Linked DNA regions of Danio rerio. The protein of the gene in region 3 purifies or fractionates together with the protein of the main gene of each other region. This does not show direct contact. Links are inferred from orthologs where the notes say so. Each region holds a gene or a part of one and is shown on either strand. Other genes may lie near its edges.

Evidence for each region.
Region 1: the proteins of g3bp1 (region 3) and stau1 purify together in Homo sapiens (affinity purification with mass spectrometry; 3 studies listed by BioGRID and IntAct, with this or other methods). This does not show direct contact. The link is inferred for Danio rerio from reciprocal best matches to the Homo sapiens genes G3BP1 and STAU1.
Region 2: the proteins of g3bp1 (region 3) and fxr2 purify together in Homo sapiens (affinity purification with mass spectrometry; 3 studies listed by BioGRID and IntAct, with this or other methods). This does not show direct contact. The link is inferred for Danio rerio from reciprocal best matches to the Homo sapiens genes G3BP1 and FXR2.

Annotation. Positions count from the first base shown.
Region 1 is NC_133181.1:48,977,222-48,980,698, reverse strand, and holds part of stau1 (double-stranded RNA-binding protein Staufen homolog 1), read right to left. Parts: intron 1,967-3,477; coding exon 1,891-1,966; intron 1,812-1,890; coding exon 1,486-1,811; intron 1,415-1,485; coding exon 1,292-1,414; intron 1-1,291. UniProt on the Homo sapiens protein: Binds double-stranded RNA (regardless of the sequence) and tubulin.
Region 2 is NC_133182.1:22,701,783-22,705,539, reverse strand, and holds the start of fxr2 (fragile X mental retardation syndrome-related protein 2), read right to left. Parts: upstream 2,296-3,757; 5' UTR 2,233-2,295; coding exon 2,182-2,232; exon of another isoform or gene 1,018-2,181; intron 688-1,017; exon of another isoform or gene 1-687. UniProt on the Homo sapiens protein: mRNA-binding protein that acts as a regulator of mRNAs translation and/or stability, and which is required for adult hippocampal neurogenesis. Specifically binds to AU-rich elements (AREs) in the 3'-UTR of target mRNAs.
Region 3 is NC_133189.1:30,207,302-30,211,058, forward strand, and holds the start of g3bp1 (ras GTPase-activating protein-binding protein 1), read right to left. Parts: upstream 2,288-3,757; 5' UTR 2,172-2,287; intron 1,056-2,171; 5' UTR 1,034-1,055; coding exon 939-1,033; intron 855-938; coding exon 773-854; intron 1-772. UniProt on the Homo sapiens protein: Protein involved in various processes, such as stress granule formation and innate immunity. Plays an essential role in stress granule formation.

The DNA.
Region 1 (3,477 bases), on a different chromosome or scaffold from region 3:
TTATATGATCATATCACATTTTAAAGTTATGATTACGACAAGCATTGGATATGATTTTTCTTTCATAGCGAACACAGTGTTGTGCATGATAATAAATGTGTACCAGTGTCAGATTAACTACTCTAGCCTGTTGAATATAATGCAAGAGGCAATCTGAAAATGACAAATGTCTCATTTTACCAGTGAAAAAAAATGGTCTCAATGTTGTCAATGACAAGCACAAATCTCAAACATAATATTTCAACATCAGAATTATGAATAGTTGTATTCTATATTCTATTCTATAGTTGTCCCAGTTTTCCCCACAGTCCAACGACATATGCTGTAGGTGAATTGAATAAACTAAATTGGTGTGTGAATGCAAGAGTGTGTATGGGTGTTTCCCAGTACTTGGCTGCGGCTGAAAGGCCATCCACTGTGTAAAACATATGCTGGAATAGCTGGTGGTTCATTCTGCTGTGGCGACCCCTGATTAATTAGTTTACCCCTTAGTTTTATTTGGACTACGCCGAAGGAAAATGAATGAATTAAGGAACGTCTTTTTCAGTTCATAATATTTGACCATTAGTTTTTCAAGCTACTTGTATTCAGCTTAAAGTGCCATTTAAAGGCTTAACTAGGTTAATTAGGTTAAATAGACAAGTCATTAGACGACTGGTTTGTTTTGTAGCCAACCGAAAAAATGGGGCTGATAATATTTAATAATCATTCATTCATTTATTTTCTTTTCGGCTTAGTCCCTTTATTAATCTGGAGTTGCCACAGCTAAATGAACCGAAAACTATTCCAGCATATGTTTTACGCAAGGATGCCCTTCCAGCTCCAACCTATCTCTGGGAAACATCCATGCACACTCATTCACACTTATACACTATGGACAATTTATCCTACCCACTTCACCTGCACTGCATGTCTTTAGACTGTGGGGGAAACCAGAGCACCCGGAAGAACCACGCAAACACAGGGAGAACATGCAAACTCCACACAGAAACACAAACTGACCCAGACAAGGCTCGAACCAGTGACCTTTCTTGCTGTAAGGCGACACTACCTACTGCGCCACTGCGTCGCCATAATATTTAATATAAAAATTATATCTATATTTTTTAACTGCTGATGTTCCAGTCAAATTAAAAGAAATGTGACTTTCTCCAGAGGAAAAAAAAATACTGTTGAAATGTCCTTGGTTCTGTAAAACATCTCTTGGGAAAATTTTGAATAATGATGAAAATGTTCACAGGAGGGTTAATCATTTAATCATCGACTGTATAAAGCTTAACATGATGCTCACCATGTCATGGCAGGACTCCACGTCCTTGCCGATGCCGTGGCTGATGAGAGGAGGCTGAGAGGAGCAGTTGATCAAAGACACAAACTCGTTCTTGTTATTTTTGGGAAAGTCTTTATATTCAACCTGTGCCAAAACAAATCAATAAATCAAAACATGTTGGGTTGATAAAGTGTATTTGCAGACATATTCAGTACCTGTAAGCCCTGTACATTGGCCAGGTAGCTGAGCTGTTCAGATGGTCTGGTCAGGGGCCCTTGGGGTCTGTGTGCCAGGCTGTTGTTGGTCTTCAGTATTCCCTCAGCGGTCGGGGAAGTGCCAGCGTACAGCAGCTCATTGGCAATCATGGCCGTCACTGTAGCGTTGGCTGGGTTTGGGGCAGCTGTGCGACCGTAGTCTTTGGCATGGGGACCCTGGTTGGCACCCACCGCCTGTGCTACCTCAGGCACCATGGGTAAAATGCCAGCCGGAAGCTGCTGATGGCTGAGGAAGGGAAGGCGGAAATCCTCCTCCTTACTGACCACTATAAGGAAGATAAGAGTTGGTCACAAGCAGGAAATCTTCACTAAAACGTGTATGAAAAATGACAGCAAAACACATACCAAGACCAGCTTTCTCCATAGATCCCGGCTCAAAAAAGGTCACTTTTCGTCCATCTCCAAGTTTCTTAGCAGGCGGCTTTACAAAGATAAAATGTATATACACTTAAAGGGACAGTTCACTCAAAAATGAACATTTATTTATTTACTCATCCTCTACTTGTTTCAAGCCTGTTTGAGTTTCTTTCTTCTGTTCAATACAAGGGAAACTGTACTGAAGAATGTTGTGAGAAAAAACAGCCATTGACTTGTATGGTATTTTTGTTCATACTATGGATGTTAATGATTGTTTTGCTGTTTGGTACAACGTGAGAATAAGTAAATAATAAATTAAAAAAAAAAAAAAAATGTTATGTGGGGATTTTAGAACTTAAAAATGTGCAATTTTCAAAATGTTCAAATAATAATATATTATAATTAGGAAAATCAGTTCTTTGTAACTTTCTTTACATTTATTTAAAAAATATTTTTAGATAAAAGTTTTTTTTTACATAAATATGGCTATAAAGTAAAGCATAAAGTAGTTTTGTTTTGCGTTTGCATTATTAAACACTAAAATAAAATATAAAATAATAAAATATTTTTATATTTTAATAAAATAAAATAAATTAATTAATTAATAAATAAATAATTAAAATAGAATAGATTAAAATAATTTTTTTCAGTGTTGGTGAAAGTTACTTTTGAAAGTTTTAATGCATTACAAGTGTGCCTCAACCCCTGGGCTGCGAACCGGTACGGCTCTTTGGATCAATATGTACCGGCCTGCACAAGAAACCATTAAATATTTCTGTTTTATTTATTATCCGAGTCAGAAGGATCATTTATTTAAAAAAATGACTGTATTCTCGGTTACATCTTGGTCACTCGAGCTCCCCAAATTTAACTCACAAGCTAGCAAAAGGAGTAAGAAACAGATGTCTTTGGAAAGTTTCTTTGTGAAGGGGAAAAGGCCAAGTGAAGAACCCATGAACTACCAAGGAATAGATCCATAACCCATTTGTCAACAAATTAGGTAAATCCAGCATGTCTGTGCAAGAAGATCAACTGCTGGAGATGGCAAATGAAGGTGGCTGTTCATACATGGCGTTTCTTTCCTGCATCCAAGTTCGTTATTTCCAATGGAGGCGCACATATCTTCAAAATGCTACGAGCACACAGCGAGTCATGTGATAAGACCTGACCAATCAGCTTCATATTTTGTATGGAATATAGACATTTAATGGTCGCCAACATTTTTAATTTTAGTAAATATAAAATAACTAATAACTAAATAAATAAATACCGAACATTTAAATACATTAACCATTAATATGTTAAATAGAAATGTTAAAAATACATTTACATTTGGTGACCAAGTTTATATTTCGGTTTCTACTGCACACCTTAAAGAGAGAGAATAACAAATTGAAATCCCATCCTCTACTTTGGAGGAGGGATTGAGCCGTATTCACTCTTGCTCTATAAATGTAAGACTACAGCTCATCCAATTTAAAGTGATGCATAGATTACACTATACTAAAGCCAAAATTAATAAGTTGTATACTTTTATCTCTCCTTTGTGTGATAGATGCAAAGGCGCAATTAGGA
Region 2 (3,757 bases), on a different chromosome or scaffold from region 3:
CATATACATACAACCCCTTAATGCATTAACCTGCATTATCACGCTTGCCAAATAATGAACCAACTATAAAAGATGATCCTACGGTATTAATTTATGCACGTCAATAGGACAAGACACTAAACCAGCGTAAAAAGAGCTGTAAATCTACATGTCCAAAAATGGAGCTCCCTTTACAAGCTTTTAAAAATGAAGATTTAACGCCTGCTAATTTACAAGTCAGCAAAACAGACTAAAAGCAGCTGGGCAGGCTTTTAATATAAACTGTCCCATGTTGAAACTGTTCCAACATACTAGATTGTGAATTTACATATTAGTGTCTGCTGGCCAGTTCTGTGCAGGAGAGGCGTTAGGGTGGCCTTACGTTAGGGTGGTATTTCTGGATATGTAACACTACAGGCATGCAGGACCCAAGAGGATGAGTGGCAGATAAGTAGTGTATGACGAAGACCCCCGGCCACGTGGAGGTCTCCATGTGCATCTTCATTCATAGCATTTGAGGGAACCTTGAAGAAGCTTGAATTGAAATAAACTGCATGACTAAAAATTATTTTACAAGTTCTGACTTATGGAAAAAAACATCAATATTGGGGCAGACTTTACACTATGTATACACTGTATACTTGCTGTATACTTGCTCCAACTCATAGTTTGGTTACAAGACCCAAGACTTTAGAACCAATGTTGTATCTATTAAGGCAGTGGTTCTCAAACTGTGGTACGTGTACCACTAGTGGTACGCGGGCTTCCTTCTAGTGGTACACGGAGGAATGACATATATCATGTACATGCTACATATATTTCAACATTTATAAAAAATTATGTGTATAATATGCCATATATGACATATAGCCTTTATTTCTGAGGTAATATGCCATGTTTTTTTTAAACTGTGCAGAGTTGTAGCTGCTTTACTGGGCATACTACGCTACTGTATTTCAATATTGCTTATTTTGGTGGTACTTGGAGAAAGAATTTTTTTCTGAGGGTGGTACTTGATGAAAAAAGTTTGAGAACCACTGTATTAAGGACATTTCAAATCTCAGACCAAACTATTTTTATTAAGTGGTAAATAGTCAATGTAAACTCAAATTTAAGGAAAAGCCTGCAACAATTAAATGCTACATTTAAAAACCTGAAAAGAAGAAAGAGTATTCAAATAAAATAGGTGCTACTAGGACTAAAAAAGACCTAAAAAAACGTAAAGACAGCAAATGATGAGACCAGAAAAGAAGAGAGTTGGTCAGTTTTGGTAGGGGGTTGTAGAGTGTTGGGTGTCAGCAAAGAGATCACCTGTTCCTCTTCCACCTGCTTTGGCCCCTCAGACTTCTACAGCTTGAAACAGCCGACACAATCACAGTACTATCCTTAAATCACAACCTATGACATAACATGACCATCCATACTCTAGTCATTGATATAGAGACCTTTTTTAAATGTAATACAGCATGTTCTTCACGAAAGCAAGATAAGTGGTTTCCCACTGTTTAACTTGAACTCAAACTGACCAAACAAAGAGAATATCACTGTGAATTCACAACCAATATGAAAATTAAACGACCCAACCTGACACTTTAATAAGCTAGTCCAGCCACAGAGTATCTATCTTAAACAGTTAAAACCAAAAATAAAAAGTGATCATCATTTAGGAAGAATGACAACATCAGACAACATTTGCTTAGACTGCCTGGAAATAATTAAAACACTGTCGGTCCACACTTTGACTGCCTTTCCTTTTTGTGGAACAAAGAATAAAGAAAGGGTTGTGAACAAGATGAGGATGATACATGATGGCAGAAATATCATTTTTGGCCTTAACTTCCCCTTCAAGCACTGATGAAATGTCCCATCATGTCTCTCAAAACCAAGTAACCTGCTCATCCTCTCATAAAATCTCCCAAAAATGCTTTCTATGTAGGGCACCTCGGTTGATTTTGAGATATAGCCACTGGCTTCTTGTCTTGTTAGCTAACCTGCTAAAATGACTCGGTGATTCCCCTGTTTATAGCTGAGAAATGAGAAAACAACACTGTACACACACAACCAGGCCGATGATCATTAGGTCTCGGGCCTCTTTGAAAGTGATACACATGACTGCATCACATCTCGGCTGTCCCGACCCGCTCGCTGATGCGTACACTGGAGCTTTATGGTTTAAAATGGGTTCATTTTAAATGAAGTTACCTTGTAGAAGGCCCCGTTGGAGCCGCGCACCTCCACCGCCAACCCGTCCATGTTCGTCGTCGCTTCCCCACGGCTGTGCCTCTCTTTAGGCGCTACGATAGCGTGCGAGTCCGGTACCACCCCCAGCTTCACGGGCCTCTCGCCGTTCTCCGGCCGCTTCTGTGTGTCCAGTGTTTCGGGTGAGAGAGGGGGCAAAGGTGACGGGGGAACACAGGAGCCACAGGGAGGGGGTTCAGCTCCGACACCCCTTACAGCAAGGCAAGCCAACTCGAAAACGGCTGCCTACAGCGCGAGGGAAGCTCGCGGGAGTGCCGTTAGTGGCCGGTCTGAAGCTGGACTGATGCTGTCTGATGACGGTGGATGTAAACGAGGTGTTAGCACAACAGCTAGCGCAGCCGCTAATCAACGGGCACCGACACCTTCTGGCACTTGATCTCGCGGCTCCTGCATATGTCGGGATGATTCTCGTAAAAATCCTCTATGTTATATCTGAAAACGCTGTTGATTAGGACGTCTGTTCTTTGATAAGACTGTGATGCTGTGCTACTTCACCCTTCCCCTCCAACACACGCCGTCAGAGTGGAGCAGCAAGACTGTGAATGACCCCGAAATCCCCACCCCTCTCCACTATACGCCCCGCCCAGCGCAGAGTTTGAGGCTTTGATTGGTCTACCACACTGCCACTTACTAACAGCTGGAAGATCTGATTGGTGGAGCTGTCGGGGGCTGGTCGATGCGGACTCGGTGCTCGCGGCTCCTGGTTCGCCGGGTTTGTCCTATTAGCGCCAGTTGTGTAGTTGCTATATTTGGGTGGCTCTGGTTGGTTTTTGACGACAGACCCACTCCTGATTCACAAAAAACTCCGAAATGTACGTTTCATGAAACGACCAGACTTTATAAAAAGCTCGTTATTTAGGAATACTGATAAATAAATATAATGTGTGTCAAACGCGAGATGCAATTTCTATTTTGAGCAGATGCTTTCATAACACACCGTGCAACCGCATGAAAAACAATCATGAAATGTATCAAATCTAAAACACTGGTCTCACTCTGAATAATTTGATGCATTAGGCACAACTGATTGATTTTGTATGTAAAAATCCGTAAAATCAAAGAATTGACATGAAATGTGTAATCAAGCCCCGTGACAGGTCCACTAATTTATTTTTCAGCAATACTTTATTGTTGTGGATGTTGGATCATGAAATCTCACAGCTTCAAGTTTATTGTTGAACTGGGTTGGGTTATACTGGGAATACAGGCCAGTAGCCTGGTGAAAGGGATGGTTCTTTTTTTTCAAAAAGTGGACCTTTTTGCAGTTATTCACCTCAATTTTCTATTAAATTATTAGATCTAAATACTGTATTTTGAATTAAAACCAAATGGGAGGAAGAGTTGGTTATTGATATTGATGAGGAAACATGGGATGATGGTCTAAAGCTAAGAAAATATCTGTTTGTACACGTACAAGGGAATACAATATAACATAATACACAGTCTCTATATCGCTGCTAACCGCAGACATCTAGTTAACACTTCTAATTCACCTACATGTGTTCAAAATGTAAAACTG
Region 3 (3,757 bases):
AAGGGTGTAAAAATCTTTAAATTAAACATTTTGCATCTTTAATTCAAAATGGAGAGGTTTATTGGTGAAGCAAACCCCAAAACTTTAAGTGCGTCAGTGATAAACAAATATGATTGGTTGTTGGATTAATAGTTTCAATTCCTGCAGATTCATCTAAACCATGTAAGAGTTAGATTCTGATTTAATTCACAAAATGGAAATATTTTTGTGCACATATGGATTATTTTTTATTAAAATTTGCTCTTGATTGAAACTTGATTTGGATTTTTTTTCTCCCTGGTGTCAAAGAGGAACTCCATGATGACCACTTTACATGGTAGAGCATGCACATTCAAGACCAAGGGTACACCCACAATCATGCTTCACTCAGGATGAGGAAGTCACTGCAGCACTGCACAGCATTTGCTAAAAAAATGGTTAAAAGGTGGTCTTATTGGTTTGTAAAGGGAAGTTGGGCTTATTCAGGCGTAGATGATTAAATCCTCTCTCATGCAAGCTTGTAAATGCTTAAACTGAACTCTCTGTTGTTTATAGACTGGCACAAAATAGCTTATGGAAATAAAGGTTTTTAAAGACTGTCTTCAAATTAATTATTTGAAAAATCTTTTAGAAGTAATGTGAAATGTATCTTAAAAAAAGCAAAAATGTGGGGGTTTTTTTTACCCAAGACGCACAAAACTTATTCCAGAAAACCTCTAAAACAATGTTAGGTTCGGTTATAATAGTCTAAAAGGGGCAACTTAATTCACAACAACTGTAATATAATACTCACAGACTGTCCATATACTGCTTCTGCTGGTTTTCCATTGTTGTCCAGTCCACCATGTACATATGAGGAGTTCTTGCCATAAAACCTTAAGACAACAGCAAAGTTTAGCTTTACTGCAATATAAACTACCAAAAAAAGGAATGTTATACGTTAACAAAGGGCAAGTCACCTGTGCAGGTAGTCAGGAGCCTGGTTCAGCAGGGTGTAATACTGTCGGACAAACTCTCGCCCGACAAGCTGGGCACTTGGCTTCTCCATCACCATTTCTTTGGTCAACTGGTTTCAACTAAAACAAAAATGACTTATTATAAAAAAAGCACCTCCACTGTTTCTTCACCCTTATGTGGTTCCAAAGACACATGGTTGCTTCTTGAGGACCACAAAAGGAACTGCCCTGCGACATCTCCTTATGCGTCCTTCAGAGGAAAGCTAACGTTATCTGGATTTGAAAATCCTGATAGAGGCAACTCCCATTCCTGACGGAACTCATTTGAATATCAACCGCTATAAACGATATTTGATGAAGGAAATCGGGACAGGCCGCTTGTTGAAACCGAAACAAATCCCTTTGTTAAGCTCATGAAGACGTAACGTTAGACGCAATGAGGACGTTTAACAACAGCGTCTATACATTTCCGTCGCGCCCTAAAAGAACAGCAGTTCAATTAGATGTTTTAACTCCTAGTGAAGGGTGGGAAATTATTCCTATTGGAAAACTGTTTCAATCTGATGAATTCATTGTAAGGTTGAGCCAAGTAGGCCTGGACAACAGCGACGCGTTGCCATCTTGAGCCCCGTACCTAAGAGATAATCAATATTTCTTTCGTTTTCGAAAGGTTAACGAAAACTACTTGATCAAGGTCACAATTTAATCCACGTCCTAGAATTCTTCATTCGCCATTCATGAATCAGGCACGTGCCCAGTAACGTTACCGCGCTGACTTCAATTAATGTTACACGATCGTAATATATATCGAATGACAACACAATACGCAGAAATTTTGTTAAACTGATCTTAAACATCAGAAGAAGCGTAACACACCCTAACGACACCGTGAACGTGTGCTCCCTCTTTGTCGGAAATGTCGGCTGGTGGTCAAGCAAATGCAGCTAAAGCTAATCCTCACAGCGTCGACTAACAAAAAGACCCAGCCAGCGACCTAAGGCGGATTTGACCTTTTAATCGTCTGAAATAATCATAGCATTCATAATATGAAATATTTTTTATACAAAAACTACCGGAACTATACCTCTATATTAGATTAATCACATACTTTAAGCACATGGCTATTAGCTGCGCAGGAGCTAACAGAAAGCAGTACGCAACGCACAAGAACAAAAAAGATGTAGTGAAAAATAAACTGTAGAACATATTTAACTTAAAAAGCTAAAGTGAACTTACCGAAAGGGAATCAGTAATGTGTTTTTGGGAAGAGTTTGACGTGATTTAGGTGAAGCACCTCCTGCGCCGGTAGCTGTGAAGCTTTTAGCTGAGACACTGGCAGCAGCGCGTGTGGCGAATTGCCGGTTTCACAGCAGCGCCTACTAAACTCAACGGCCCACATGATCGCAGAACCCAGCAGCCAATCAGAACACCGCATTGGAACCCCCCATCCTATCATAATTCGTTCTGCCGTAAACCCCCTAAAATTACCCAACTGAAAACGTGGGTGAAAGAAATGATCATAGCAAGTTTGTCTGTCCCGCACGTACGTGAACTATGTGGTGAGCCATTGCGCAGCTGCCGATGCTGACCGTGTTGTTACTGTGCGCATTTTTGTTTGCGAAACTATGAGTTACTTGGTGATTTCCGTGCACATTAGAAACTGTACACTACAAACATTCAACTGCCAATGTAAGTCATTTGAGAAAGCGCCAAAGAGTAAAGAAAAGAAAGAGTAGATGATTAAGAAAATGTCAACAAGTCTTCATCTAAAGCAAGACAAGACATTTTGTACTGTGTTGTACTCATTTATGTAATTAGATAATTAATGACAGGGCTTTTGATTTAATTAAAATTATTATTGAAAGTTATTTCTACAGTTATATAGACATAATATAGCAATATTCATATATAGCAACATAACAATTTTTTCAGCCTCAGTAATGACCTAATGTTATTTACCGAAAGGTTTGAACAAGCAAGTAAAGAGTCATCGAGTAGTAAAAGATGGAAGAGACAGATTTTTTTATTTTTGGGTCAACTATCACATTAATGTCTTAAATATATATATATATATATATATTTATGTATATATATATATATATATATTTATGACATATATATATATATATATGTCAAGCCCATAGTCAGCATGATGAAATGGGGTGGTTCTTTTTCTCAAAAGTGGAGCTTTAACTTTCCTCATTCAAAATTTGGCCACTTGAATAATAAAAAATTAAAACAGAATAATAATAATATAGAGCTTCATAATTTTAGATTTTATTTGAAAATTCATGGATAACAAAAATAGCCAATTTAGCTTTCAAATTAATTTTAATATGGGCCTTTCGCGGTGCTTCAAGCCTTTTTATAGGTTTATTATATCAAAAATAAGGTTTAAGATTTAGAATAAAAGTTAATTGTAAATGTTTTCTCTATTTAACGACAATACAGTAGGTCAGTAGTGAATTTTCACAGTATGTCTGATAATATTTTTTCTTCTGGAGAAAGTCTTATTTGTTTTATTTCGGCTAGAATAAAAGCAGTTTTTAATTTTTTTAAAAAAGATTTTGAGGTCAAAATTATTAGCCCCTTTAAGCTAAACATTTTTCGACTGTCTACAGAACAAACCATCATTATACAATAACTTACCTAATTACCCTAACCTGCCTAGTTAACCTAAATAACCTAGTTAAGCCTTTAAATGTCACTTTAAGCTGTATAGAAGCGTCTTGAAAAGTATCTAGTCAAAAATTATGTACTGTTATCATGACAAAGATAAAATAAATCAGTTATTAGAAATGAGTTATTAAAACTATGATGTT